Nothobranchius furzeri: one gene and its partners. The protein of the gene in region 2 purifies or fractionates together with the protein of the main gene of each other region. This does not show direct contact. Links are inferred from orthologs where the notes say so. Each region holds a gene or a part of one and is shown on either strand. Other genes may lie near its edges. The genes, in order: cct3, strn3 and mink1.

Region 1 (10,426 bases), on a different chromosome or scaffold from region 2:
TAATAACAAAAATACATTTTGTGTTTACCTCAATATTTGTCAAGCAGAAAAAAGAAATTCTAGATATTTTCATTCAGAAAAAAGAAAGGCCTAAGAATTATTTATAAACTGGCAGGTGATTTGACCACAGGAATGGTTACATCACATGTGTTGTTGGACCAATGGGCGTCCAGCGTTCCGGTATTTTTCAACAAGTCCCGCCTTTCATCTGACGGCTAGGTGTTATGGTCAAGTTACAGGAGATACGATCAAAAACCGATTATATTCTTCAAACTAAAAGCATCATGTTACACCCTCCCTTTAATGGAAAGGTTTAAGTAAAAATTTTAAGAAAACAAAAGGTTTAATAATAAGTTTTAAATAAATGTTCCCAAATTTAACTTTTGACTTTAATTTATTCATTCAAAATCAGCATATGCTTTTTATTTTGAAAGCTACACCCGGAAATCAATCAGTTAGTGTTTCTTCGTTTTGATTGGCCACCGTTCTTCTGGCTCCGGGATGATGGTCGCATCTTTTTGATGTGCTTTTATTTTTTCCGTGTTAGTCCGGGTCTATTTTGTCTACACCGTGATGTCCGTCATCTGTCTGCTTCCAGCCGTCTCGCTGGCGTTGCTGTCTTTTTATCCGGTCACCGTGTTTTCACGCCGGGACGTGCTCGAGCTCGGGGACGCAGACTTCGACTACCTGGCAACGGAGCACGAGACCATGCTGGTGAAGTTCTACGCGCCATGGTAACCTAGCATAGTGATTTATGTTAGCTGTTTTTGTTGGGTTAAGGTGTTTTTCCTCTTTTGTCTCTTTTATGTTTTTATTTTATTTTACTACTTTCATTCTTAATTTCCTGTCTTTCTTTTTTATTTTATCCTTTCAGGTGTGGTCACTGCAAGAAATTAGCTCCAGAGTTTCAGAAAGCAGCTAGGCAACTGAAGGGGACTGTTCAGTTCGCAAAGGTAATAACATGAGTATGCATGCACAGTAGGGATGCACTGATACAAATTTTTTTGGGCCAATACCAATTGTTGCAGATACCGATATGTATATACGCGCCGACATTTATGCTTCTGGAATCAGCAAATTATGTATAGACAGAAAATTATGCTAGCAGAAATTTTTAATGTTTTGCTTTATTTCTATAAAGTGGAATTTGCAATTTATTATTATATACACACGACACACATTTATGCTTCTGAGATGATTATCATGATTGTCATCACTGTCACAGGACTGAATGTCGTTCCCCCCCCCCCCCCCCCCCCCAGATACACAAATAGAAACAAGATTGAAAAATCATTGGTTGTCAATATCGGCCCACTTTTACTTTTCGGACCGATACCGATTTGTTAAAAGATGACTAACATCGGCTGATACCAATATATTGTGCATCCCCAATTATCATTGTAAACAAACATCACACCTGACCAGTGTGTCTCACCTGTCTGCCAGGTGGACTGTACAGCACACACCGTAACCTGTGGTCGATTTGGGGTCACGGGGTATCCCACTCTGAAGATCTTCAGGTACGGAAAGGACTCTGCACCCTACGATGGACCTCGAACTGCAAGTAAAAAATAAATAATAGAAAAAAAATTGGTTAAAATGTCATGAAGTCAATAATAATGAATATGTAAATATCTTTGTGAATTCAGATGGAATCTATAACTACATGATGAAACAAACTGGTCCAGACTCGGTTCATTTAAAGTCTAAAGAAGACCTCCAGACCTTTGTCAAAAACTACGACGCAAGCATTGTTGGTATGACTGATGTACAGCGTGGGACTTTGTCGCTTAGCTTTGTTCATAAACAATGAAGACTTTATACATTTTTTTTAATCACGCGTGTTATTGAATTGATGTTGTGTGTGTGTGTGTCTCAGGTGTTTTCTCAGATAGTGACAGCTCCCATCTAGCTGAGTTCCTGAAAGCTGCTGGTCTGTTGAGAGGACAGTTCAGATTTGCTCACATCACTGATCTGCAAATTGCTGAGGAGCATGCTAACGCTGAGTGAGTGCACAAAGATACGCCACAAGACTACAAAAGGTGTTTAACATGTTACTGTGAGTTATCTACGCTTTCACAGGAGTGTGTTGCTGTTCAGACCTCCTAGACTGTCCAACACTTTTGAGGGCAGTGTCGTTGTCTTCAAAGATTACCTGACTATTAGCTCCCTGAGACGCTTCATCAGAGATCACATGTGAGACTCTTTTTTTTATTTCATTGAATGCATATGAAGGACAGTAAAGAAGCCAATGTCTCACAGTTTCACTCCATCTGTGTGTACAGATATGGAATGTGTCCTCACATGACGCTGGAGACCCGAGATCGTCTGAGAGTTCGTGACCTCTTGACGGCGTATTATGACTTGGATTATCATCACAACGTTAGAGGGTCCAACTACTGGAGGAACAGGTAGCATACAAACATACAGGTGGCAGGTGGTTGAGTGTGTGGACAGGAAATGTGTGTTTAGATCTCTTTGCTGTATGTCCTGTCACCAGGGTGATGAAGGTGGCATCTAAATACACTGGGCGTGGTTTAATGTTCTCAGTAGCCAATAAAAAGGACTTCCAAGCTGAGCTGGAGGACGAATATGGTCTGGGAACATCAGATGGAGGAGAGCTCCCGTTTGTCACAATCCGGACCAAACTGGGACACAAATATGTCATGAGGGAAGAATTCACGTAGGTTTTAGGGTCAAACGGGGCTAAACGTCCATTGAAATGCTTTTATTCATTAATTTTCTCTTGCAGGGTATCCGCGGGTCCTTAAATTTACTTTTCCAAAGGCCTTGAAAATCTTTAAAAATGACAAATAATCCTTAAATACAGTTTCCAAAGGTCTTAAATTACCAAAGACCCAATAAACTAGATTATTTTATTTCTATGACATTTTCGTGAATTTCAGCATTTTTTGTGTACGATACTGGCGTAAGCGGAACCGTACACATTCAGTTGGTTGTGAAAGGGGACTATTTTTAGATGAGCACGTTAGCTGGTTAAGCTAGTGGGAGCTTGCGCCATGGAGAAGTGCAAGTTTAATGGTAACTGGATGGCTAATCCCATGTTTGCGACGTGGTTAGCACCGGTTCCAGGCAATAGCTAGAAATTATAGCTTAAAATTAATTTAAAAAATAGCTTCAATTTGGATCTGGATCGAAAGGAGCCAGTTGAGGTGGTTTGGGCATCTGGTCAGGATGCCTCCTGGACGCCTCCCTGGGGAGGTGTTTCAGGCTTGTCCTGCCGGCAGGAGGCCCCCGAGTTGACCCAGGACACGTTGGAGAGGTTACATCTCCAATCTGGTCCGGGAACGCCTTGGGATCCTGCCGGAGGAGCTGGTGGAGGTGGCCGGGGAGAGGATGGTCTGGTGCTCCCTAGTTGGGATGCTGCCCCCGTGACCCGGACCCGGATAAGTGGAGGAAGACGACGACAAGCTTAAATTTGGTCAAAGTGGCCTTAAAAAGGTCTTAAAAAGTCTTAAATTTGGCTCCCTTAAACCTGCAGATACCCTGTCTTGAAAATGCTGCTCACATTGCATGAATGACAGCTGGTCAGTCTTCAGGATACTAAAAGTTGACTGGTGTGTTTCAGGAGGGATGGTCAGTCACTGGGGAGGTTCCTTGAAGATTATTTTGCCGGTCGTCTCAAACGTTACATAAAATCAGAACCTTTACCTGAGAAAAACACGGCTCCTGTTAAGGTGAGCTGAGCTGCTTGTGAGCGTGACTGATTGTAAATACTGATTGTAAAAAATTTGTGCTGACCTCCTTTTGTCTTCAACACCGCAGGTGGTTGTCGCAGAATCATTTGATGAAATCGTGAACGATCCTGCTAAAGATGTTCTGATTCAGTTTTTTTCCCCGCTATGTCCACACTGCAAGAAGCTGGAGCCGGTCTACAGAGAGCTGGCTGACACGGTACACAGCTTTATTGTATTTTTGATTAAGTTTCAGTGCACTAAACTCTAGAATTAGGTCGTGTTGCTCTGATAGTAATCTGAAAATGCTCTTTATGTGTTCTCAGTTGCATTCTGACCCAAACATTGTCATTGCCAAGATGAACGCCGTCTATAATGACATCCCACTGGGATACGATGTCCAAGGGTGAGGATGACGATGTTGATGAGCACTTTTAAAGAAGAAAATTCATGAGTCTTTATTTCCTATGATTTTATTCTTCTCTCCAGGTTTCCAACCATCTATTTTGCTCCAGTGGGTAAAAAGGATGAGCCCATTCGATACCAGGTACCAAGTTTTAATAGTTTCAGCTTGAGTTCATCAATCTTTGAGACACATGATGTCTAATGGTTGTGGGACATCTTGATTTCAGGGCACTCGAGAGCTCAAAGACTTCCTAAAGTTCCTGAAGAGTGAGGCGAGTCATGGTCTGGTGCTGACTGGGTTTAAGGACGAACTGTGACAAAGATTCACCTACTGATCAGAACTGACTTTGATTAACAAAAAGATCAAGTCTTGTAACAGCTACACAGACATGAATGGGCAGCAAGAGCTCTGCTCCTGGTGACACACCAGAAACAACGAATCAGGACATGGTCCACCCATTTTTGTTTCTACCAATCAGATTCTTTCCATACTCCCCTCTAAAACCATGTCCTTGCTGAATAGAACTATTTATATATTTATTCATTTATAAAGCCATTTCATGTGCAATTCTTTGTTTTTTTATTCCAGAAAACTAAATGCATTTTGATATAATACCATCTGTGCAGTTTGTATTTGGTGCTGTGTTTAGTTTTTATTTATTTATTTATTTATTGACTTAATTACTTATACTTTGGCAGTCTTTGGTTATTTTGTGAGCTTTGTTATGTTGAGAAGCTCTGCTGAGATTATGTAATAAAACCATGCTTGACAACTGACTGTTAATTAAATTCTCATGAATTAATACGCCTTAATAGCTTTTGTAAAATTGTTTTCAGCCGTTGTTTTTATGATGGGATTTAAAAAGAAATTTAATTTTTAAATTATACTTCAGTGTGCCTGAGTTTGCTCAACCATTATTTCCATGCCTGTGTGTTGTAATAAAGCTTAATAATAATAGCTGGGATCAACTGAACAAACTTTGCAAGTTCCACGAGTGTTAAAACACATAAAAGTCATTTTCAATCTTCGTAAAAAAAATTTTTTTTTTTTTTTGCTAAATCGTTGTGGGTTCTATTTCTATTAGGTTTTCTCCATAAAAGGCCTATTACTAGAAGAGTTTACCTCATTCACTCTATTGGTGAATGCGCATGTCAATCAAAAATAATAGTCTTTGCTAATTGGCCGGACCTCAAGTAATGTCTTGCCCATTTTGTCTGAGCCGTCCCTCTCCTCGTGCCACCCAGAACCTTCGAGGCTAGTGCTGTTAGCGTCGTGGTCTCAAAATGCTCGGCCAGCAGGTTTTAGTGCTTAGTAAGTATCGAAATTTGTTCTTAACTATACTTTCAATAGTTAGATGTCGGTTACTTCCCGCCAGTTTCTGCAATTTAGTCAATTTTGTGACCGTTTGAACGCGGGGCAGATCGGCTGGGACACAAAGCAGCTAAGGATGCGCTAACCAACTGTTATAACTCAGCCGAGCATCAGCTTCTTCCACCGGTATTAGCATTGTTAGCCTACATGCTACTGATAGCATCCACACCCAACCGGCATCATTAGCATATTTAGCTCGTGTTCGGAAGTAGCGGAAAGCGTGTAGGTATGCTAGGCTAGGCTAGCTTAAGCTAACAGTCCTCTTACTCATCATGAGCGTGCAGTTAGACAACTGCGAACATTATATAATAATTAAAAAAGACATGAAATTACCTTTGATGCAGCTATTAAACACGATTTTGAATTAGTTTTGTGTGTGCGCTGTGACTGAACTGAACAACAAAATAAGCATCCGCTTTAATACATTCCGATTTCGATTGATCTATTTGATAGCCTGTAATTGCGAATTGACAGCATTGTTATCCTGCAAAAATCAAAATTCATTCATTCATAGTGTCTGAAATCACGAAAGCTCTATCTGTACTGGTATATTCCGTCCATTTTGTCTTTACAATTATTTTAGACTAGAATAGATAGCTCCCTCAGTGGGGGGATTTTGGTGTCACAGCAGCAATTAAATTCATTATAGGAGCTAAAAAGAAGAGTATAACATAATAAAAAAATTACGACAACAAAAAAATTATTTAAATATTCGAAACACTCATTTTATTTGGAATGCAATAAGAAAATGTTTTATTTAGCTGTATAGATATTACTAGTTTAATGATACAATCCAACAAAATTGATTTTAAATAAAGATGCAACAACTCAGTTAGTAAGGAGAATAATTTACTACAAAGGATTCTAGTCATAGATGCACTTTGGCCTACGTGACTGGTAAATCATATTCATTAATTTTGAAGCATTTTAACAGTGTTGGACATTTGTCAAAAATGATCTGTCACATATTTATACACAGCTGTTTTTATTGATTTTTTTTAATGTAATGTGTTGGTTTGTTATCGATCTGGCAGGCATGGGATTGCTAACCATACTGATAAATTACTTCTTTAAAACCAACAATTTCGAATTGCTAGTCATTTAATTGGGTCACTCGAAATAATGGCTATCTGTGTTTTGAAGCAAAAACACCCTTCAATTAGGTGACTCTGTAGTGATTTCTCTGTTTTCTTGTCTCTTTTTAGACCAGAATGTGAAGAGAGAATCAGGACGTAAAGTCCAAACTGGAAACATCAATGCAGCAAAGGTCAGTTGTTGCTGTAAAACGTTAAAGCTTGTGTTAGACAGTCTCATCTGTCTTTTGAGTGCGGAAGAAAACTGTTTAATGTTTGAGATTAGCCAATCTAGGCTGTTTTTTTGTTTTTAATATGGAGACGTTGAGTAGCTGGGAAAGAAAAGGCCAGACTAGAGTAGAAATTCCTCTTAATAGACTGAGATCAGTCTCTGAAGAGAAAAATGCTTCATTTGTTTTAAAATTGTTTTATTCCCCCAGCCCTTACATATATTGTTCTTGTGCAATCTATTTTAGACCATAGCCGATGTGATCAGGACCTGCCTCGGCCCACGGGCCATGATGAAGGTGAGTTTGTCTATACAGAGAATCACCGCACCCAGTCATTTACAAAAATAAAATAAGTCCGTAATATTCCATGTTTTCATGTCATTTTGTCTAGATGTTGCTTGACCCTACAGGAGGAATCGTAATGACAAACGATGGAAATGCCATCCTCCGAGAGGTCAGGGTCACATAAACACTTGGAAGTTTGTCACTTCATCAATTCCTTCAGTGTTTCATAACATCCTGCTTCTCCATGGCAACAGATTCAGGTACAGCATCCCGCAGCCAAGTCGATGATCGAGATCAGTCGCACACAGGATGAAGAGGTGGGAGATGGGACCACATCAGTCATCATACTGGGTATAAAAGCTTTATTTTTAATCTAAAGAAGCTCAGACTTCCCCTTTAGAGGGAATTCAGTTTGTTTTATTTAACATCCGTCATTTAATGTCTCAAATTTCAGCTGGAGAGATGTTGGCTGTAGCTGAACAGTTTCTGGAGCAGCAGATGCATCCAACAGTGATCATCAGTGCTTACAGACAGGCTCTGGAGGACATGTTGGACACACTGAAGGAAATCAGGTAGAGTCTGACAGTTTCCATCGCCTCCTTGTTACATTATAATTATTTTTGATTTGTTGTAAGCCAACCAAACAGCAGCTTAGAAATAACATTACACATTTATGAATGAGTTAATTTTGTGAAACTTGTACAGGAAGTTTGACTGAATATTGTTGTCCTCCTCCAGCATCCCCGTGGACACTTCAGACCGCTCCATGATGCTGAAGATTGTTCACTCTGCCATCAACACCAAAGCTCTGAGCCGCTGGTCGGAGCTGGCCTGCAACATCGCGCTGGACGCCGTTCGTACGGTGGAGCTGGAAGAGAACGGGCGCAAAGAGATTGACATCAAGAAGTACGCCAAAGTAGAGAAGGTACGACTGTTGCTCATTACACCTGATCACTTTAGGTTAGAACAGAAGATCAAGTGTTTCCTGCATTAATTGCATTCATTCTTTTGTCTCACATCTCCCGTGTTGTGTTCAGGTTCCAGGTGGAATCATCGAGGATTCCTGTGTGCTGAAAGGAGTGATGGTGAACAAAGATGTGACTCACCCAAGAATGAGGCGAATGATCAAAAATCCCCGTATCCTCCTGCTGGACTGTTCTCTGGAGTACAAAAAGGGGGAGAGCCAGGTATAGTGAGCTGCTTCTTTGTCTTAGAACATAACCAGATTATATAAATCAGTATTTAACTCACATTTATTCTACAGACAGACATAGAGATAACTAAGGAGGAGGACTTTGCCAAGATCCTACAGCTGGAGGAAGAATACATCCATCAGATCTGTGAGGACATCATCCGCCTCAAACCAGACTTGGTCTTCACTGAAAAGGGCATTTCAGGTACCTGAACAACTTTTGGTGTTTTTCTCTGTTGTTCAGTCTTTGCATTACAAAGGCAGCTTAAAAAGAACTGTTATTCAGTCCTAACTCTTCTTTACTCGTTCAGATCTGGCTCAGCACTACTTGGTGAAGGCAAACATCACTGCCATTCGCCGTGTGAGGAAGACTGACAACAACCGCATTGCCAGGTATATTTGTTTGTTACGCAGAGAACTTTAACCAAGTCAGTCCTACTCTGACATAGCTTTATACGCTTGCTGTGTTTTTCAGGGCGTGTGGAGCTCGAATTGTGAGCCGAACAGACGAACTGCGTGAGGAAGATATTGGTTTGAAGGCCGGGCTGTTTGAAGTAAAGAAGATCGGAGATGAGTATTTCACTTTTGTCACAGAGTGTAAAGATCCCAAGGCCTGCACTATCCTGTTGAGAGGAGCCAGCAAGGAGATCCTGGCGGTGAGTTTCCCCATCTTCTAAATCAGTCCGGTTAATATGTGCTTTGTGTAAGGACGTTTGTGTTCTGCAGGAGGTGGAGAGGAACCTGCAGGATGCCATGCAGGTGTGCCGTAACGTGCTACTCGACCCATTCCTGCTTCCTGGCGGCGGCGCTGTTGAGATGGCGGTGTCGAAGCGTTTGACAGAGCGTTCCCGCGCTTTGACGGGGGTCGAACAGTGGCCGTATCGCGCTGTGGCCCAGGCTCTGGAGGTCATCCCCCGAACCCTGATCCAGAACTGTGGAGCCTCTACTATTCGAGTTCTAACATCACTCAGAGTAACGACAAATTTTATTTTTGAGACCTGGAGCTTTTGGTTAGAGTTGAGCTACTGATTGGTTAACACAGGCATTTAACATTAATGTTTCTTTGTTTGTTTGTTCAGGCCAAACACACTCAGGACAACAGTGTGAGCTGGGGCGTTGATGGAGAAACCGGCTCTCTGTCTGACATGACAGCTCTTGGCATCTGGGAGCCACTAGCTGTTAAAGCTCAGACCTACAAGACTGCTGTTGAGGTCCGAACCGTTCTCAAATCTGATCTGATCAATAATATTGTTTTTTTTTTTTTGTTTTTTTTTTTATTTAACCTTTATTTATCCAGATGAGTCGATTGAGAAATCATTCTCATTTACAACGAAGATCTGGCCAAGAGGCAGCAGCAACAGACACATAGTTGCTAATATCTGTTTACAGTTTTTATCATTTTTCTGTGTTTTGCAGACGGCCATCTTGTTGCTACGTATTGATGATATTGTCTCCGGGCACAAGAAGAAAGACAAAGGAGAGCAGATGGGAGGACAAGGAGCCGAATAGGTCTAAGTAGATCCAGGCTGAGCAGCAGAGTTACTCCGACTGTTTGTATCTAAATGTGTGTGTTTGCATGTGTGGAGACCACCTGACTCACTCAAACATAATAAAAACAAAGTTAGAAAGCTTGACTCGTTCCTCTGATTTCATTAATTCATATTTTTGTCTGACCACGCAATGTTGCAGAGACGTGTCAACCACGACAGCCCTACAACATCCATAGCCTTGAGATACCCAGGACGAATCTCATCTGCCCATGGGGCTCCGCCGCTGTGTAGTTGTTTGACGACCTCAGCAACTTCTGCCCCCGAGATTGGACAGTCCATCCCCAGGTCTCCCGGCTCTGGTTCCTCCTCGGAATGTGCATAGGTGGTATTGAGGAGCTCCTCAAAGTATTCCTTCCACCGTCCGACTATAGCCCCAGTTGACGTCAGCAGCTCCCCATCCCCACTGTAAACAGTGTGAGCGAGTTGCTGCCTTCCTCTCCTGAGGCGCCGGACAGTTTGCCAGAACCTCTTTGGAGCCAATCGATAACCTTTCTCCATGGCCTCACCAAACTTCTCCCACGCCCGAGATTTTGCCTCGGCAACTGCCACTGCTGCACCCCGCTTAGCTATCCGGTACCTGTCTGCTGCCTCCGGAGACCCACAGACCAGCCACACCCTGTAGGC
Region 2 (10,326 bases):
CAAATAAATCTGAATAATTTGATTCTGGACATGAAGGATCTGTTGTTGCTGATGGGAAGGCGAGTTTGTTGCAGGATGCTTGGTAACGGTGCCTTCACCAGTGAAAAACAAAAACAGTCCACATATGTTTTTATCAGAGCAGGCAGCAAAATCACTGATTAAGCTGATCATGCAGAGAAATGGTGGATTCTGATTTCCTGCTGATTTTTTGTGCGTCTGACGAGCCAGGTTTGCATGCTGCATTTTGAACGCAGCCTTGAACCTCAGAGGTTGTAGAGTTTGAGGCTCGTTCAGCAGTTGCAGCTAAACAACCAGACACGCGTTGGCAGATTGTGGAGCTGCAACGAGACTCAGCTTTAGGAAGTGGAGCGATCCGCTGATGAAGATGGTGAACTCCTACAACATCTATCTTTTACTTAAATCGTGGTGTGATGGGAGACACACGTGGCTGGATTTTTTCATCAGTGAGGTGGTAGCATGTGCAAGTGAGACCAGACGGTTTTAAACGGGGGAACCCATCTGTACACAACACAGAGTGGCTCCAAACAGGAGAAAATAATCTGAGCAGTTCAGTTCTAAACATCATGGCTTGAACACAGAGCAGGTGCGCTAGTGTTAGCCTACTCCTCCACGTGGAAACGCATCAGAAATGTGATGGGACAGATGGACGTATTGTCCCAGAGCGCTGAGCTAATTATAAACAGCAGCAGCAGGAGGACACTCTTGACCTCTGAGGTCACACTACACATATAGGCTGTTTGTATTCTTGGTTTTCCAGTTTATTCCTTAACATTTTCAAAAGAGAAGCTAAAACCACCACATTCTTTTATGTTTACACTGAAATGGAAAGTGAATGTAAAGAACAGAAATGATGCTGATTAAAGTCCATTTTGAGATCAAACACCTGTGGATTTGAACCTTGCACTGCTGTGGTCTCTGAATCTGACGAGTCCTAATCCATAATGTAAACAATTCACTGTTGAATACTTAGAGAGAGCAGCTTTTGTCCAAACAGGAGTTCTGCACCACTTAGGAGCTACGAGGCTAAAACTAGCTCGATCATTAGCTAGCTGCTGATGTGGGCCAGCCCCTCTTGCTGATGCCAGCCAGTGTTAGCCGCTAGCTACTTGGACTGCTAACTGATTAGAGTTATAAGCAGTGGTTTGATAAAAAAAAAAACAGCCAGCGCGTCAGTTTGAGATTAAACGTCCCAGAAACTCATCTAAAGTTGTTTAAAATAGTCATCAGTTTCAGGTCCGTGAAATAAGAACTTCTGATGTGACTTAAATGTTCATCGAGGCTCTGACTTGTTTACAGTTTGTTTTTGTGTCTCCAGGCCAGGATAGCGTTCCTGCAGGGAGAAAGAAGGGGCCAGGAGAACCTGAAGAACGACCTGGTCAGAAGAATAAAGATGTTGGAATATGCTTTAAAGCAGGAAAGGTGAGATTCATGCATTCGTTTAATCTGCATTAACTTCTGACTCAGAACAGCTGCTGATGCAGCTGATCTACCTGTCAGCAGGTGTTAACCAATCCCGAGCCAGCTGTGTTAGCTTTAGCTTGTTCTGATGTGTTTTTTGTGTTTACTCAGTAACAGGTGAGCTAGCTTTTAACAGTCACAAAGTTATAGTATAAAATGAACTCAAAACTTCAGATTTCTAAAACTACTTTCAAAAGTACATTACAATAAAAGTAAATGTAACTAAGTACTTTACAGTTGTGGTTTTCCTCCTGCTGTGAGGAGTCTGCTCCTCTTTAAAGTAAAGTAATGGGATTTCTTTTTGCATGCTCCTCTCAGAGCAAAGTACCACAAGTTAAAATATGGAACAGAGTTGAACCAGGGTGAGGTGAGGATGCCGAGCTTCGAGTCAGGTAGGTGATGCACAAAGCGGCCTTCACAGGTGAGTCCCGGTGGGACCTTCATTTACTCAGCAGGTCTTTGTTTTCTCTGCAGACATCAAAGAGTCGGATGTCTCTGCTGTTCCTGCCAACAGTCAGCTCATGTGGAAACAAGGACGACAGCTTCTTAGACAGTAAGACAGCTTTAGGATGGAGATCAGATCTGGAGTTAGTCTGGGGACTAACAGATCTGTGTGTGTGTGTGTGTGTGTGTGCACATTAGCAACTGATAGTAAAGCATATTGGAGGCTTAAACGGCTCTATATGAGTGGACCATTTTAATTCACTAATCTATTATAACCAAATCCTCCTTGTTCTTTGAATTATTTAAAGGGTGCATTTTTCTTCAGACTTCATTGCTGGCTTACTTTGAAGTCTGCTGTGTGTTCCAGGTACCTACAGGAAGTGGGTTACACAGACACGATACTGGACGTCCGCACTCAGCAGGTCCGCTCTCTGCTCGGCCTGTCGGGTTCAGAGCAGAATGGATCTGTTGAGAACAAGAATCTGCAGCACCTGATCAACGGGACGGAGCGATGCAAAGAGCCCAAGAGGTATACACAGAGCTCTAGTTCTTTGACTGTGTAGAAGCTTTTCTCCTTCACTGTGATTGTGCTAATCTACCTTCTGTTTCCATTAGATTTATTAGAAAGTGATCTGGGTGCAGGGTAGAGGCAGGCCCAGTAGGGGGCAGTAATTTTGTGATTTACCCACTGACATGTGCAGGCCTCTGCCCCCATGGGCGTTGCACCCGTGGGGGATGTGGGGGATTCAACACCCACACTTTTCCAGCCGTTTTGCTCACCTCCACACCAGTCTGGTTTCTCGCACTCACTCTGTTTGCCTCTTCTCCTTCTTCCCCTCCCTCTTCTGTTTCTCCAAACAGGAGAGAGAGGGAGGGAAGAGCCCGACTGAATTCATAATTTTACATCGTGACATTAGCTGTACAAACTCTCAGTTTGATAAAGTGAGGAACAACAATTTGCAGAGGTTTATAACAGGCGCGGTGCCAGGTTTTCATTTTTGGGTGGGCCACGGTAATTTTGGATGGACCTTAATAAGCAGTGACTTAAGTGAAGCAGGATGGTCGCGCTAGAAAATTTCATTTAAAAAGACGTCATAAATGTTTTCCCCCGTCATTTTAATTTCTAAAATATGAAGTAAAAACTCCCAATTTAATTTTCATTCATTTTTCATTTATAGGCACCAGAACCTCCACTTCTAATATTTACCTCTCAACGTAGGACTCTTTCATAAGGGTACATGCACACCGGTAGTTTTTACGGTTATTCATGGGCAAAATCTCTGACAAATGGGCCATTCCCATCTGTACCGGGTCGGCCCGGGCCGGGTAGCCCCAGTCGGCCCCAGCCTGGCCCGGTTGATTCCACACATCCTTGTCTTAAGCCCATGTGGGCTGATTCTACCCACCAATCAGAGGCTTGCTCTAATGGAAGGTGTGAATTTGCTGTCAGCAGTGGGTGTGTTGGCCCTGGTCGGCCTGAAGCAGACCCCCTCGAGAAGAGGGCTGAGAATGAGCCTTGGTTGGCCCGGAAAAATACCAGGCCACCCAGATATGTAAACAACCTACGCTACCCGGCCCGGGCCGACCCGGTACAGATGGTAATGGCACAATTTTTGAGAAAAAAAATCCATCTTCCAGTAAAAGCAAAGCATCCAGCCCACCTCTCCAAATGCGTAAAATGTGCATCACAGCCGCTAGGCGCGCTGCGCGCACCGTCAGCTACGTCAGCCCAGACAAGAGCAGAGCAAATAGAGAAATAATAGAGGATAATTGTGTCTGGATGTGGATGGAGATTACATTTTACAGCAGCCTGATCATCATTTAAATACGTAAACCATCACCTGTCCTCTAGTCCACGCTATCAGCATTATTTTAATTTGTGTGTGTGTGTGTGTGTGTGTGTGTGTGTGTGTGTGTGTGTGTGTGCGTGCGTGCGTGCGTGCGTGCGTGTGTGTGTGTGTGTTTTCCACATCAAACACTGGTCTAATCAACCAGACCAGCATGTCCAGTAACATATTAATGTTACAATTAAACAGTTTCACTTCATGTAGGCTAGGAACATTTCACCTGCCGTGGCCCGACCGCTTCTGCTCCACATAAACTTTGTGCGTGATCAAATGTCTCTACGCGTCATGCGTCTCCATATTAGACACGGGAACAAGCGCTGTTCAGCCTAAGTTTCATAATTTCATAAAAAGAACATTTTTCCAAGTGACACATCCCTCAGAGAGACCGGGTTTCCAGACCGCTTCAGTGGGAGGAAATCTTACCGCATGCGCCGTGGTTCTGCACTGCGCTGCAAACCCCTCTACAGATCTTCAGCTCACTGTCCACCGTGGGCGCTCCGAGCCGCGCTGAGCACAGTGTCCAGTATAAAGCTCTGATGTTCTGATGGGAATCATTTCTTGATTGATTTAGTTACCTCCGCGATGTGCGTAACGATTAAAATGTCAGCTCATCTGTGTGTGCATCAGTGTGCGTCGGGGTAATTCTTTCAAAACAACCAACATCCTTGAGTTTATCTGTCAAAATAAACAGTCAAATGGAAATATCTGTAACCTGCCATTTTACTGTTTTGCCTTCTTGTGAAGATTGTTGCAAAGAGAAACAACTAAACTTGATTAACCCCAGAGCCATGCACACTGCACTGTACTGACTGTAAAATGAGGGGGAAACGATTTAATTGGATCCTTTTCTCTTCAACATGGTTTAATGTAAAGTTTCATTCAGTACAACCTTTAGTTATACCAATCTAACGAGACAGAGCCTTTATTTGTATTCTGAACAGTTTAAACATGTTTAAAACGGAGACATGCGTGACACGTCTAAAATTCGCACCTGCTCCGCTGTTATGGAAATTAAGCTAACAAGATGAATAACATGAAATTATTTTGGGCACAGACAACATCCCCCACACTTTTGAAAAGCTTGAATGTGCCTGTCTGCCCCCACTGTTGATGGGTTGAATCTAGGGCTGGGAGATGTGGCTTCAAATCAGTATCACAGCATGATGAGCAGTTCACATTAAAAACGATGAATGGACGATAATTACCCGTATGCGCAAATACAAAAGTTGTCCACTAGATGGGGCTGTGGCAACATAATCGCTCCACAGCTGGTTTTATTGATGGTAATATTCCCCCACATCTATTCATAGTATGAATAGATGTGGGGGAATAATCAATATTTACTATGAATTTCATAGTAATTATTAATTAATTGCTACTTAAAAATAATGCGCAACTAAGTACTTAAGTAATTTGAGTTGTCAGGTAGTCAGGTTCTCTATAGAGTGGTTGTACTGAATGTTACGTCCTTTATTGGACAAAGCTGATCTTGTCATCTTGCTAACCAGGCTTAAACAATGGGTAGGGATCTCAGGGATTGCTCTGGAGTGGCAGGGGTCTTATCTAACTAGGATGTTGTATGAAGATTGGTAAAGCTCCATCTTACCTCATCTGAGGAGTGCCGCAAGGTTCCATCCTCAGACCCCTTTTATTTACCCTTTACCTGCTTGACATTTCAGAAGTATAAGCTGAGTTTTCATCTACATGCTGACTGTTGTTAAAGCTATTGCCCCATGAAACTGGGATAAAATGGTGCTTTTAAGATTATCCTGGCATGTCTGGAGGAGGTAAATATTTGGCTGGCTTACAGTTTTCTGAGTTTAATGAAAATAAAACAGAGGCCATTGTCTTGCTGCTGTTTTTACAGATTAAACTAAAGACACAGGAACAGACTGTGTTGCTACTTAGGAACCAAAAGACACAATTTTATATACAAATCTGCATCATCCCTTGAGCTATGTGGCCTTTGAAAGACTTCCAGAAGGTCTGAAGAAATGAAGATGGACCTGTTGCCAATCTAGATGGAGTAATGATGTAGTTTTCTTCTGAGACATGGGTTGGGCCTCCATAGAGGGTCACGAATAACGGGTGGGGACCGGAGAAGATCTCCAGAAATCTAAAACATCAAATCATTATTCCTAAAAGCATATTTGTTTAGAAATCTGAAGTTCCCATAATATTCAGGGTTTTGGTAAAGTTCAACCAGTGGTTTTTGGGCTTTCAGGTTGTGGAATGGTGCAAACACATTGAATAGAATAGGATAGACTATTGATCCCACAGAGGGGAAATTCTCTTGTTACTGCAGTATAAACACTTAAGAGAATACTATGAAGAAAAATAATAACAAAGGTACATGTATACACACATAGGCAGTAAGCTAGTATTGTAACCTTCAACCACTAAAAACCACAAATAAAAATGAAAAACTTGGTTCCAGAACCATGCAGCATACTGTAAGGGATGCAGACATACTAAGTTCATCTGGTTTTGCACAAGTATTGAACACATACTGAGTATTGCATTGATGCTTTTGTGTACCAGGATAATACCAGTACAGCTTAAACTGAGGAGTTCTACACTCTTACTGCAGAGGGGATGAATGACCCACAGAAGCGTTCTGTTTTACATCTGGGATGTCTCAGTCTATCTCTGAAGGAGCTGTCCATGGTCTCCAGAGTGGACGTGTGTGTGAACCACATGTGTGTTTGTGTGCAGAATTCCAACTGACAACTTGGAGACGTTCAACTTCTTGGAGAACACAGAGGACAGTGATGAAGATGATGATGAGGAGGGAGACCTAATGGACGACATCACTACGGACAAACACCATCGAGCTAAAAAACATAAAATAAATGTATGTGAAGAGAAACTGTGACTTAGCACCATTTCCCTCCTGTACTCCATTCTCCTGGAACTTTTTTTTCTGCTCTCATGGTCGACCAGGTAGGAAACGAGGGCTTAGCAACAGAGGATGACGCAGACACGGAGGAAGCTTTGAAGGAGTTTGATTTCTTGGTGACGGCAGAGGATGGAGAGGGGGCGGGGGAAGCCCGCAGCTCTGGTGATGGGACAGAGTGGGGTGAGATAGTCATCACACGTTAGCCAGCCAATGATCAAATGCAGAAATAAAACATGACGCATGTCTGAATGTTGGTGTCTGGACGTTTTGGACACAAGTGAATTTATCTGAGTCTCTCTGCAGCAGAGCCTCTACCCTTTTCCACTGCTGGGGGAAAGTCCTTCTTACTGGGGGGGTCTGATGATGTTCTGGAAAGCGTGCTGGGTTTGGGGGACCTTGCTGACCTCACCGTCGCCAACGATGAGGTGGACTTTGGCTACGATGTGAGGAAATGAAACTCAGTGGAACTCTGTCTGAATTCCTGATAAATGAGCTCACTCTGGTTTTGTCCTCAGCTCTCCTCCAGTAAAGAGTCTTCCTTCAGGAAGACCTGGAACCCCAAGTACACGTTACGGAGCCACTTTGATGGGGTCCGAGGGTTGGCGTTCCACCCTGTGGAGCCCTGCCTGGTCACAGTGTCTGAAGACCACACGCTCAAACTGTGGAACCTCACCAAGACCGTCCCAGCCAAAAAGTATGTGTTCTGATTTCTGGGCCCTCACTGGGTACAGGAGCTGCATCAGCTCAGGGTGTTGGTGGCTTTTAGTCGTTCCTGTGATCTTCTCTCACCTACACGACGTCGTCAGACACAGGTCCTCTGAGCTCACCAGGGACACTTCAGCTTTCTTTTACTCAGAAAAAAACTACAAATGAAAAACACAATGAGACACTAGGAACCAGGTGAGAACATTCAGACTGCTGATTCGTTAGATATTCCAGGGGCGTGGCTTCCAGACATATATACAGTTAGCAGGTTGTGTGTTATGATCAGATAAGGAGTTTGTAAAATGCTCGGAAGCTTTCAGGATTGATGTTTATTTAGAACACCAATAACAGGTGTGATGACATTCTGTGTTCCAGAAGTGCCTCGTTCGACGTGGAACCGGTCTACACCTTCAGGGGTCACATGTATGTATCAGAACCAATGTGGAACATTAACATGTCACGTCTCCTTTTAACACATCAGATTCCAACTGTAGACATGTTTTATTAACCACATTTAGTTGTTTTAGAGATCATTTTTCAGATTCCCCCCCCCCGAGGGGGCCGGGCACCCCTAGCTCCCCCATAATTTAAGTCCTGTTTGTAACCAACTCTGTAGCTACTATTATCAAAATAAAGAGTATAAAGTAAAGATATAATTAGCCCAAGTTAGAGATAAATCTGAAGGCTTGTTATAGTTTTGTGACGTGTCTTTTTAGTGGTCCGGTGCTGTCGTTGGCGATGACCTCCAGTGGCGAACAGTGTTTCAGTGGTGGCATCGACTCCACAATCCAGTGGTGGAACATCCCCAGCTCCAACGTTGACCCTTACGATACCTACGGTACTTCCTGGTCTAATCACAGTCCTCACTTCTCACTTTCATAAAAGGTGTTTTTTGCCTTTAGCTGCAGGAGGGCTGGCGATGTGGACCCAAATGGTTAAAGGAGGTTTGGCTCATCTTTTCACACAAACAGGAGAAACAAAACTTGTCAGTCATGGTGAAACGGCTCTCCAAAACAATCAGAGACGCATCAGAGACATAGAAACAACAAGCTAGCAGTAGCAGTGACTGCTGACTGCAGAAAGTCACTGGTTCTATATTCATATTGATTTAAACTTGATTGGTTATTCTTGTGTCTTGTTTGAAAATATATGGATGTGTATTAAAAACGTGATATCTTGTCCATTTGTAAGGTGCAGGCTATGACACCCCCACAGTGGCGGACCTAGGATTATTCTGAGCATGGGGCCATAATTTTTATAGAGGGGGGCCAAGTGTTAGTCAAACATCCTTACACAAGGTTTCACTCTGGAAAACTATTTGGCTCATTAACGCCACTGGTGTTTGGAATCGGAATTGCGTCTACTTATAAAAATTGTGGAAAGGACGGATGAGTGACAGGGCAGGGGCACTTGAGGACGCCAATCGGATTTCTGCAGGGGCCAGTGCCTCTCTGATCCCTCTCCTACAACTGTCAACCCCCCCTCCACATCTTCTCCTGATGTTCTGCTGTGTTTTCCAGATTCCAGCGTGATGGCCGGGTCCTGGGTGGGTCACACAGATGCCGTGTGGGGATTGGCCTACAGTGGCATTAAGAACCGCCTCCTGTCCTGCTCAGCTGATGGGACTGTGAAGCTCTGGAACGCAGCAGAGAAAGAACCCTGCATCAGCACTTTCAACACCAATAAGGGTGAGTCTAGACTCTAGAGAGCCTTGTTGTTATTTTCAGAACCAGGCCATCAGGTATTTGCTACTGAAGGTCTTCGCTCTCTGCCATGTTGCTTTCTGGTCAGAGTTCTGTTGGGTCTGCTCTCCCGACTAGCAGAACATCGGTTACTAGTTTCCTTCACTCAGAGCAGCTCTGTCAGATAGGTCAGGGTTTTTCTTCATGTGTCTTCTGCAGAACACGGAATCCCCACGTCGGTGGATTTCAACGGCTGTGATCCCGCCCACATGGTGGTTTCTTTCAACGGTGGAGATGTGGTGGTGTACGACCTGGAGACTTCCCAGATTGCACTGGTCCTAAAGGGCCAGGGTGACAGCAGTAAGGACACGCACACGCACGCGCGCGCGTGCACACACACACACACCATTATCATGGGGTTGCAAGGTGGTAACTGTAGTGGTTCTCTCCTCTGCCAGCCCTCCCTTGTCTGAATCATATCAACAGGGTGGTGAGCCATCCCACGCTGCCCGTCACCATCACCGCTCATGAGGATCGAAACATCAAGTTCTTTGATAACAAGTCAGGTGTGTGTGTGGTTCTAGTTCTTTAATTGGACACTGGGCTGGATGTGTCTGGAGTCGGGGTTTCTGCAGATTGAACTCATCCATCTGAGTCATTTATTTCCCCTTTGTGACGTCTCCCGCAGGTAAAGTGATCCACGCCATGGTGGCTCACCTGGATGCAGTGACCAGTCTGGCTGTAGATCCAAACGGCATCTACCTGATCTCCGGCAGTAAGTCACTTCCTACTGGACCTGACCACCAGACCAGTATTACATCTGCTGATCTGGAACCAGCCAGTGCTTTTCAAAACCCACTTTTACTCCTTTAACAAGTAGAGCTGGACACACATCTTTTTTAATGGTTTTTATTTTCTAATTCTGTCTTTTTGAGTTTATTCCTTTTATTACCTGCTTTTGTTTGCTTTGGGGGGCTGCGGTGGGGGTAGTAATGGTGTTCCCTGTAACAGGATGCCGGGTGGAGTCAGTAGAAGATTTTCTGTAACCACCTGAGTTCTTTTAAAACTCTTTTTCTGGACTTTTTTTGTGCCGATTCTTGAATTTCAGACGTTCTTCTGGTCATCTCTGTAGGTCACGACTGCTCTCTGCGTCTGTGGAACCTGGACAGTAAGACTTGTGTACAGGAGATAACGGCTCACAGGAAGAAGAGCGAGGAAGCCATCTACGATGTGACCTTTCACCCTTCCAAGGCTTACATTGCCTCTGCTG
Region 3 (10,426 bases), on a different chromosome or scaffold from region 2:
ATATATGATCTAAAAATGTAACTATTTTGTTTATAAAAAAATAAATTAAATTACAATAAAAACATCTGTTTTTAACATTAAGCACATTTATATTGTATTGTTTGTGTCCAGCACTGTTAAAATGAACATTTAATAAAATGCCTTTAATTATCAGAAACATTAAAATAACTTGGCATTGAGTGTTCTATGTGGAAAAGTTATATCTTACCCGATGTTGATAGCTCTGAGTGGCCTCAGTTTGGAGAAATAGATTTGTTCTAATAGGATTAACGAACTGGCAGCTGGTCACACTAAAGCCTAGGGCACACCGGTGACAGTCGCGCTGCATCTGCACTGTCATTTTAAATAAGAGCCATTATAGTTGATGAGAGGGGCTACACGGGGAGCGCCGCATTGCATCCTAGAAGCGCAGTGCCCAGGCGCTGAAGATAGGCACCGGTTCTATTTCAAGCGTCGCTGTCATTTACAACATTGTGGAGTACTTTAAAAGAGACATAACGCGGAGAGACTTTAAGGCACAAACCCAGCCGCAGTATTGATAACTTTAGAGTACTAGTGATCTTAAAATATTCTAATAAAAAGCATGCTTACCCATTTTAATGAATTGGTGTCTCACAAAACACGATGCCAATTTCTGATCATGTGTAAACAATAGGGAGTCTACCTCATCATGGTCCACGGAAGAACGAAAAAACGAATGCAAGTCAATGTGGCTAAAAACACTATTTTCTAATTCCACTTGTTTTGTGCCATGGATTTCACATATGATGTCCGTGAATTTTAAAGACTCATTTGGATACAAAGAACGCGCTTATTTTCGAACAGGGGGAAACGCTATTTTAGGTTTTGTGTGAAAAGAAGTCCAGAATTACAAATGCGCTTCAAGAAAGTGATGTCATCGAACCAGACACGGAGAAAACTGAGGGGAAAATGGCTGTAAGTTCAGCAAACTTCCCACAGGAGAAACGAACCACCATAAATCTGGTCATGTGGTAAGTAGCAGCTACTTTGTGGACAGGAGATTATGTGGTGATGTCACATATGCGACGTGCTGATTTTTAGTTTGTAGTCATGCAAATGACAAAGTTTTACAAGCTAATAAATCTCAAAGTGTGTGACAGGCATGGTCAAAACACCCATCATTAGTTTTCATTTAAATTGCAGAACAACATATGTGTGATGCAGGGCGTAAGGCAAAGCAGATTAGAAAATAGCGTTTTTAGCCCTGTTGACTTGCATTCATGGTTTTCGTTCTTCCGGGGACCTGTGATGCGGATGTGACTCCCTATAGAGTCACTTCCTGCTTCCTGTTCACAAATCCCGTGTGATGTTATGACTATCGTGTGACTTTCCAAGAAGTGCTCAGCTTTTTTTTTTCACTCATCTTTATTGATAAAATTGTACCATCAACAAAATTGTATAAAACAGTGAGGGACATTTAAAGCATAGTTCAAAATGAAATGGTCAATGAAACACATCGAGTGAACAATAAGCGAACAAAATAAAAAAGAACTGAATATAACATGAACACACACACTAGGGGGAAAGTTAACAGACCAATAAACCAAACAGTTTAAACAGAAAACCCATACCTCTACATTGCTTTAGATAATATTTTACCATGAATGATTCATAAATTAAATGTAGACCATTCAACTAACGTTTTTAAGGCTTTTTAATTAGAAGAATCTCTGATGGAGGAAACATATTGTCTCAGCTTGTCTTGAAAGCTAATAAAAATTGGCTTTCTACTTGTAACCTTACACTTGTGAAAATGGAATTTAGCCAGCAATATTATAAGATTAATAATATATATTTTTAGAATTCTCAATTTTTTTTTATTTACAAAATGCCCAAACAATACATCTCTCCAATATAATTTTAAGTCTGGATCAATCTTGATACATATAAAATCATTGATCTTCAGCCAAAATTGTTTGATAACCTGACAATTCCAAAACAGATGTACAATAGTTTCTGGAAAGTTATTACAAAAACAGCAATTCACTTCAATGTCTTTCTTAAACCTGAATTTTATGAAGGGGTTAACAGGGTAAATTCTATGTGTAATTTTAAAGGAAACTTCTTTGACTTTATTTGTAATAAGAAACTGGTCAGGTAAGAGCCAGACATTTTTCGATAATAACTCAGGTACAAATTTATTCCAATATGAATGGGCATGCCTATGTGCAAATATTTTGTTGGAATAATGCTCTAATTATTTTATTATTATTTGTGGATGGAGTTGAGAAACACCTCTTGCCAACATAGGTGTGTAATGGAGACATCACAGCTGGTTGTAAGCTACATCTAGAGAGGGATTTAAATAACATGCATATTCCAGCTGGGATTGCCATAACCACATTTGCATATTCATCTGGAGAAACAGGAACACCATATTTATTCAAAAACTCTTCATATGTATAAAGAAGGCCTTCATTACCAAGCAATTGATCTACCAAAACAATACCACTGTTAAACAAGTTTTCTAAAAAGATGTTCTTTTTTTGTACAGAATGTCCCTGTTACTCCAGATGAAGTATTTATGAGGGCTGAAGTTGTGCTTGTAAATCTGACTTCATGCCAAGAATGCCTGGCGGTGAAAAGCACTTAATTTTAACCCTTTGGTGCATAGTGGTCACTACAGTGGACAGGTACTCAAAATTGTTATTTATTTGTTTTTGCTATTAAGCACAGCTGTTGAAGACTTTATTGCATTTGAGCCCCTCCATTTGGACTTCAGTAAGTCAAGCCAACATATTTCATGTCAGAATGCACGCTGTCCACTGAGATGGACGTGTAATAAATTATTTGTAAATTATAAAATTTTACAAAAAATGTTTGTTGAAATTTGTTTCATTCACACCTAAAGACAAATGAAAAAAATTGTTTAAAAATCATGGTTGAAGATTTCATAATTCATGCACCAAAGGGTTAAGGGAATTTTATCAATATTAAAGTTACAGACCATAAAAAAATGAATACCGCCTACTTTAGAAAAAAACATGTTGAGGGATAGCATTCCAAATTGAGGCTGGATTTTTGATCAAGTGTTTGAACCAGTTTATCTTAAAAGTGTTATGCAGCGTTTCAAAGTTTAGGAAATTGAACTCTCCATTTTCATAGGAATTCATGAGTATTGTCTTACGTAACTGGTGTGACTTATTTTTCCTTACAAAATTTAGTAAAATCTTTTCAGTTTCCTGTAGGTGTTTCTGATCAAGATGGTGAGGGAAGAAACGCTCAGCTGCGCCTCCTGTGTGACCAACTTCCCAAAACAGCGGTGTGGTGCGTCTGTCTCCAGTGTGCCCCAAGCTTAAGGCTAGGTAAAAAGTTAGTTCATGCAAACACCATGTCTTCTATCTGCAGCATCACAAGTGCAAATTTCCTTGCTCAATCATATCTAGATAAAAAATGTAATTTATGGAAGTTTTTCTAATTGGTGTTCACATAAACCACAATTAAAGTCAGGATGACAAACTGAAAAATTAGTTACTACTGGCTCTGCTGTGATTAGTCAGTGGCTCATCAACCTGGTCAGAACTCATTTTGATTTCTCCAAACTCCTAGAGCGATCTAAAACAGATATTAACTGTTAACAACCTTTCCACAGAAACCATTAAAGAAATCCAAACCCTCCCTTCAGCTTTATTTCACAAAGAATATATTTATCTGAGGTTTTGCAATGCAACCACAGTTATTATCCTCCATCAAATTATTATTTTGGAATCTTGGTGGACAGCTTTAGAAATGATCCATGCATTATTTATTATAAAAGCCTTATGATCTGCTGAAAACAAAGTATGCTGTAATGGGAAAAATAGCCACAGCATTTATGACCTGTTGAGCAAATTCGAGATTGAAAGAAATGGTGAACCGAGGATACTTAGATGTGCTGCTGAAGTTTTTGGCAGCATTTGGAGTAATAAAACTTCAGCAGAAGAGTTTATGTTTTTAGACAGAACTGACAGAGCTGCAGAGCTGCTGGGGCCCACAGTAAATCTGTTCTGAGGTGATTTGTCCCTGCTGAGGCGCCGTATCCCTTGAAGAGCAGAAAACACTTGAGGAGTGTTTGTGTGCAGTCAGTACAAACCCACAGGACTACATGAAGGCTGGAGTGGGAGGGAGGACAGGAGGCAAAACATGGCGAAGTAACAAGTTTTGCTCTTATCGGCAGGTAGAAACTGCACCACATATTTCACCATTGGACTACGTTTTTTTTTTACCAATTTGGACACCGGAGAAGGACAGCAACGGTCAACTTTAAACGAGCTGATTTATCTAGCCTATGAGTTAATGGTGGCTGTCGTGAACATTTGCTGTGTTTCCCCCGGAAGGTTGGCAGAGCTAGGCGCGACTGTCAACACCGCAAATGGATTAAGAGGGAAAGTTTTATTTATTTATTTTTTTATTGTTTTGGGAAAAAATACAGTTTAGCTTGCTAGCTTAGCAGCGTTAGCGCGAGGATCGTATGTGCACACCTGAGTCGGGTTGTTCCGATTACTTTGGGCTCGGGTAAAAAAACTGGCAAATAACAACTTTGAGCAAAAGGGAACTGTATTTCCAACGAGGCATTTATTGTAAAATATCCGCTCTTAAGTAACTGTGGCGGCACATCCATGTAAGGCTAATAATGACAGCCTGACGATCGGTTCTGGTGCGGACGGACCCGGACGCCATCATATCAGACGTTGTGTTCTTCTTAAAAGCAACCATTGCGTTTCAATGGCGTAAATGTCTCATACTCTGTCAGCACAGTTAATGTTCCAGCGGGACATTATCTGGTATTGTTTCTCTCTCTGCGTGTGTTTGTGTATTAAATGTAACATTAGCTGGGATGTTTTTCAGCAGCAGAGACGCAGCGTCTTGTCAAAATGAACGCAGTAAGGTGTTCAACAACAGCGGAGGTGCATTCTGCCAGTTGTTAGATTAGCGTTTATGACCAACCAGCTGGCACGCTAACAAATACAAACAAACAAACAAACAAACAAAAACATTTAAACTGAGCTTATTTTGTTTATTTTTATCTGCAGATTATTCTGTAAAACTCCTGCGGATAACACCACAGCTGTCGGCCAGAGTTGATGTGAGCTAGCCAGCTGGGTGCGTCTGTGACGGTCTTTCCTTGTGATGGATGTGCTAATGTAATTGTTCCGCAGCAGCTTCAGTTCGTTTAAAGATCCGGTTCACTAATTGGTCTCTGTAGATTCGGCCGCTATAACCTCGTGATTAGCCACGGATTTTCTCCCCAAAGTTCTCCTTGTTGAATAAGAGTGGCTTACTTGTTGGTTAACGTCATAAGTTTTCTAAGCTATGTCTGAAAACGCCCCCACACGAAGCCTGGACGACATCGACCTCGCAGCTCTGAGGGTGAGTATTATCATTATTACTGCGAGATAAGTGTGCAGCAATTTGTAAAATCACCGCAGACAGACTCTTTTAGGTGTTATGTCATCTGAGTTTTCCTCTGACACAAGCACTACCTAGTACAGCCCACGCAACGAAGTTGAGGTGAAATAAACACCCCCCGGCCCCTGTGTTGTAGGCAGTTGTGCGGTTTAAAATCACAGATATTTGCAGAAAATGTCATCTGATTTCTGTATCTGGAGAAACAAACATCCCTGGCACATTTTTCTCATGACAGTCTTGGTCTTTCCGGTCTAAAATGCTCTATCATGTCAGTGTGATTGCTGTGAGGTAATCTCTTTTGAATCACATCAACAGTAAATGTTATGGTATTTAATGGGTCAGGTTGAACTACAATTTGCAATCATTCTTCCACGTGTTACTTCTTTAAATATTACAGGTTTGATGGCTCTTAAATCTAGTTGTTTTTTAAATTATTATTAATCTGAGATTTTCAGTCAAAAATTGAAATTAGCAAATTATTATTCGCCTGGTGTTAATTTGGAAAATGCTGCCTGGATTTTCAAACTAGTTTTTCTGCTGCAGGCAGGAAATGAACAATGTGAATACAAAACCTAGAAAAGTGTAAACACTTGATGCAAACTCTGTTAAAAAGATGATTGGTTTTTAAAGGATCTGGAGTAGAAATTAAGATTATTTAGTATTAAGGTTGTAATTCAATTGTTTATGGGTTAGGGTTAACCTATCCTATTAATAAATATTATATGTTTTGTGAAACAATATGCATCACTAGAAAAATTTTAGGAAATTACAAATTCACTAACATAATCAAATTAAGACTAAAAATGTGCATTTGATTGAATGCAAATGGATATTTTTTGTCTCCAATCAGAACATTTTGTATCATTTTAGCTTCTTGTAATACTAAACTCTGTAATACTGTGTCAACAAGTCTTTATGCAGTGGAAATGGTACTGTTGGGGTAGGCAATCCTGGTCCTTGAGTGCCTCTATCCATTGTTGTTGTTTTCCTGTTCCAACACACCTGGTTTTAATCAGTAGGTGAATATAAAGCCTAAAAATCTGGGGTGTTTCTCAATGTCAAGGAACCTCATCTTGATGCATTTGTCCCACCCCGGTTGCCTAGGAGATATGTCATCATGTAGTCCTTTTATTTCTATTTCTGTTTGTTTTGTTTATGAATAAGATGACTATGTATATTTTGTCAGTCATTTTGATGTCTGACCAAATCAGCCCACCGCTGGTGTTCCTGCAGTTTCATTTTGAACACCATCAGTCCCATTTGCTTGTATTTTATTGTGAGGTTTCTTTTTTTATTTTATCTAGATCTTCTTGGCTAGCACCCACAAAATACAAGTGTGAAAGTGTTCTTGTGATTTTGGAAACTGACTACTTAAATGTGCCTTGTAGAGGCCTTGTGTTTGATCAAAAATAAAAGTTTGGTTTTCTCTTTAATTCTCAAACGAAGTCGTGTTTGTGTTTTTAAAGTCTTGCAAAAATATTTAAAAGTAAGTCTTTGTGCAACATGATCAGAAGCAGATCTTACCATTTCACAGTCAAAAACCATGCTTGTCATGTAGTATTTTGTTGGCACTTCCCATCATGTAGGCTATTGCCATGACATGTGAAATAATTTGTGTGTGTGTGTGTGTGTGTATGCGTGCGTGTGTGCACCCACCTGCGTGCATGCCTGCCTGTCTATTCCTTTCTTGTCTGCAACAATAAAATGCCTTTGACGCTCAAAAGAGACATTTTAAAGTTCTTCTGGGAGGAGACGAGATCGTCTCAGTGGCTTAATTATTGCATCTTTGAGAAAATATTGCAGCAAAATGCTGAAGGGCTCCAGCGTTGCATAACAAACTACTGCACACAGATATCAACAAATTATTTGGACCAAAACACTTGATTCAAATGCCAGTAGCACTACAAAAGCATGTCTTCTGCAGATTGGCATTTATTTCTGCTGGAATTGTAGATAATACTATTAGAACTGAGAAAAAATCCAAATAATAGCATGCTTGTGCTAGTGTCTGGAATTGGAGATTTTATGTCTTATCTTCCTATTTAGGCGAACACCTTTGAGTATAAAAATAACGTTGGATGATGATCAGCAGATATAACCAGCCCTCTAGAAATGAAACCCATGAGAAATGTATTCTTGTGATTTTTATTTTGATGAACTCAAGAGTGCTGCTGTTTTAAAATGCGGGTAGTTGTAAAATCATGTCAAAGTGGAAAAACTCAAACTGGCCTCTATAGGCTTAAACCAGTGGATGCTAAATTTGTGTCATCATTTTCAAAGACACTCAAATTTCAAAAAATTTATTTCCAAAATGGAGACATTTCTTTTTTATATTCATAAGTTTTGGGCTGTGTTTTTGGTTGATAGCTGCAGCTTTTTAACCACAGCCATGTCATTTTATTTTATTTTTTTTTTTGTTCCTTTTCCTGAAAGACTTCCCGTGTCAGCAGAGTTAGCACCCTTGCAGGAAATGTGGTATCAACTTCCCCTTGGACCTTAACAAGTGTCTTTCAGCTCATGTTGCTTTTTGAACATCAAAGCTTAATATTTGTGTGGGTAAACTATTGTTTATTAGCATTTGTTGTAGTCTTTATTAGATGACACTTTGACATATCTTACATGTGCATTGGTTTGTGTTTGAGCTGGCTAACTGCAGATTTCTTCTCCTCTAACAGAATAATTTTCCTGCCTTTTTTGTGATAATTGGACCTTGTTTGGCTGTATGTTGTGGATGTTTCTCTTTGACTGTAACTGTACCCTTCCCCTTGTTTCAGCTCATTCTTCTCTTCCCACTCTCTGTGCTGGATGTGGGTGAAGCTACCGCCTCTGCTTCTCCACCCACTCAATCATTACATTATTCCCTTCCATACCATCATTCTCTTGCATCCTGTTTCACATCACTGTTGCTCCTCCTTTGTGTCCTTATGCATAACCTGCCTATAAATCTGTCCGTTATGTTTGTCATCAACTGTCTGCTTTTTCGTCTACTATCGTATCATTTCCTGCATTCCTTGTCCTGAAAGAAAATCTTTATTTTGAAGGCTGAACATAGATGACTGGAAATAGATGAAAGCGGGATAGGTCATGGTGTACATTCTAAACCCAAGGCAGCAGTCTCACCACCCACACACCTTCTTAAAGCCATATTGAAATTACATGAAAGTGGAACTGCTTCTGTAGAGGGAGAGGGGGGGTTGCATATTTAGTCAGAGCAACCTACTTGTTATTAGTGTCAGTGAAATGTGTGTTCAGCGCATTGAAAGATAATCTGAACAAATTAAGAGGAAGGCTGAAGTTCTAGTTGGAATCCATACTTGTGAATCTGAGAATCAATGTTTTGTGCTGTTTAATGTCAGATTATGTGGGTGGGTAGGAAGATGAAGTTCAGATGGTTAATAAATGAAAATGAGTATTGAGTTTGATTGCTTTAATGATGTACAATGTGGAATCATTGGGGTTATTTCTTGCTTTGTGAGATGTTTGGCTCAAAAATGTTTTGACATTGTGGGAGGAGTTTAAGGGCTTCTTCAAATCTGGTGTAGCCCTCACGTTATTTTTATCAGTCTAACAATTAGTGATTTTAGATCTGTTTGAATTACCTGGCGAAACAACTGAAGCCAGGTTGCAGAACAGATAAGAACAGGTGCAGTTCAGTAGCATTTTATTATCTGATGGAGACTGTCGGCTGAAGAAATGTGAGCTTAACAACTCGACGCACAGCCTTGTCATTGAAGGGTACACGTGGAAAAACAAAGCAAATAAACTGTAAAATAAATGGCGCGCTTTGTGTTTAGTGTTTGTTCCATTTTAAATTCACTTGTGTAGAAAATACAAATGGTGTGTGCTTTGGGCTATATTTGGTGTAAAATAATTGAATCTCTTTCTTTCTTAGGATCCAGCAGGAATCTTCGAGCTGGTTGAGGTTGTTGGTAATGGCACATATGGGCAGGTGTACAAGGTGAGCTGTTAATCCTCCGTGATCCATATAAAGTCTAATCTTTGTCTTAATGTAATTAGCCATCTCTCCTTAAGAAGCTGAAACTTGTCAACATAACCTTCTTTAGTGCCGGTGTTCCGACTATCCGTGCTCCTCGTCGAAATGTGCTACTTTGGGGAAATGTGCATGCGCAGCGCATGCCGATTATTGCGTCACCGGCTGTTTACAAGTCGAGACGCGCTACCTGTGGAAGTTTACGTTTAATCTCGTCACTTATCTACACTCAACAAAAATATAAACGCAACACTTTAGTTTCTGCTCCGATTTTTCATGAGATGGACTTAAAGATCTAAAATTCATTCCAGATGCACAATATCACCATTTCTCTCAAACATTTTTCACAAATCAGTCTAAATGTGACAGTGAGCACCTGTGCTTTGCTGAGATAATCCATCCCACCTCACAGGTGTGCCACATCATGATGCTGATCTGACATCATGAGTAGTGCACAGGTGTACCTTATACTGCCGTTGCGTTTATATTTTGAGTGTAGTTACTTACTGTGACCTTCAAGTTGAAAGTATTTCTTTAAGTTGTTTTATTAAATTACTGCTTGCTGTATGTTTACCTGACAGTTGGCTTGTAAATGGCTTCTAAAATATCGGTATTATACTGTAAACAAGAAATTTCTCCCATTGTGTACAGTCATTCTGAAAGAGTCCCAAATTAATATCCAAAAGTTTTCTATTATACATATAATAAATTTATCATAGTTGTATAATAATCTCAAATTATACATTCAAACAAATAACTATAAGTATTGACGGAAAGCATATTTGTTCTATGTGGATTAATTTGTCTAATAAAGGATTAGGTAGAGAAATAGAATGGTAAGAGCTAACGTCTTACAAATCTCCATTTTTATGAATCACTCTCTCGACATGGGTGAAAGTAGTTGGTAAATTGTCATTGTTCATGGAATATTCAAATGTTTTTAGCAACTAAGGGGTTAATTTTAATGAAATGACTAAACAGCTTCTTACACTATCCACTTTTTTTTCATAATAACAGTAGCTACCG

What was found.
Region 1: the proteins of strn3 (region 2) and cct3 purify together in Homo sapiens (affinity purification with mass spectrometry; 3 studies listed by BioGRID and IntAct, with this or other methods). This does not show direct contact. The link is inferred for Nothobranchius furzeri from reciprocal best matches to the Homo sapiens genes STRN3 and CCT3.
Region 3: the proteins of strn3 (region 2) and mink1 purify together in Homo sapiens (affinity purification with mass spectrometry; 3 studies listed by BioGRID and IntAct, with this or other methods). This does not show direct contact. The link is inferred for Nothobranchius furzeri from reciprocal best matches to the Homo sapiens genes STRN3 and MINK1.

What each region holds. Positions count from the first base shown.
Region 1 is NC_091759.1:9,428,547-9,438,972, reverse strand, and holds cct3 (T-complex protein 1 subunit gamma), read left to right. Parts: upstream 1-5,281; 5' UTR 5,282-5,384; coding exon 5,385-5,412; intron 5,413-6,677; coding exon 6,678-6,739; intron 6,740-7,021; coding exon 7,022-7,072; intron 7,073-7,166; coding exon 7,167-7,229; intron 7,230-7,314; coding exon 7,315-7,411; intron 7,412-7,514; coding exon 7,515-7,632; intron 7,633-7,798; coding exon 7,799-7,985; intron 7,986-8,097; coding exon 8,098-8,247; intron 8,248-8,324; coding exon 8,325-8,457; intron 8,458-8,563; coding exon 8,564-8,645; intron 8,646-8,727; coding exon 8,728-8,908; intron 8,909-8,978; coding exon 8,979-9,224; intron 9,225-9,331; coding exon 9,332-9,463; intron 9,464-9,668; coding exon 9,669-9,761; 3' UTR 9,762-9,886; downstream 9,887-10,426. Other genes in the region: pdia8 (protein disulfide-isomerase A3), read left to right, coding at 574-734, 875-953, 1,447-1,564, 1,650-1,757, 1,880-2,006, 2,083-2,196, 2,286-2,411, 2,501-2,683 and 5 more. UniProt on the Homo sapiens protein: Component of the chaperonin-containing T-complex (TRiC), a molecular chaperone complex that assists the folding of actin, tubulin and other proteins upon ATP hydrolysis.
Region 2 is NC_091758.1:17,984,365-17,994,690, forward strand, and holds part of strn3 (striatin-3), read left to right. Parts: intron 1-1,336; coding exon 1,337-1,440; intron 1,441-1,797; coding exon 1,798-1,871; intron 1,872-1,953; coding exon 1,954-2,032; intron 2,033-2,290; coding exon 2,291-2,452; intron 2,453-6,485; coding exon 6,486-6,624; intron 6,625-6,713; coding exon 6,714-6,849; intron 6,850-6,972; coding exon 6,973-7,112; intron 7,113-7,184; coding exon 7,185-7,363; intron 7,364-7,749; coding exon 7,750-7,797; intron 7,798-8,090; coding exon 8,091-8,212; intron 8,213-8,894; coding exon 8,895-9,062; intron 9,063-9,275; coding exon 9,276-9,416; intron 9,417-9,514; coding exon 9,515-9,622; intron 9,623-9,744; coding exon 9,745-9,831; intron 9,832-10,188; coding exon 10,189-10,326. UniProt on the Homo sapiens protein: Calmodulin-binding scaffolding protein which is the center of the striatin-interacting phosphatase and kinase (STRIPAK) complexes.
Region 3 is NC_091750.1:48,031,120-48,041,545, reverse strand, and holds the start of mink1 (misshapen-like kinase 1), read left to right. Parts: upstream 1-5,081; 5' UTR 5,082-5,313; coding exon 5,314-5,370; intron 5,371-9,301; coding exon 9,302-9,367; intron 9,368-10,426. UniProt on the Homo sapiens protein: Serine/threonine kinase which acts as a negative regulator of Ras-related Rap2-mediated signal transduction to control neuronal structure and AMPA receptor trafficking.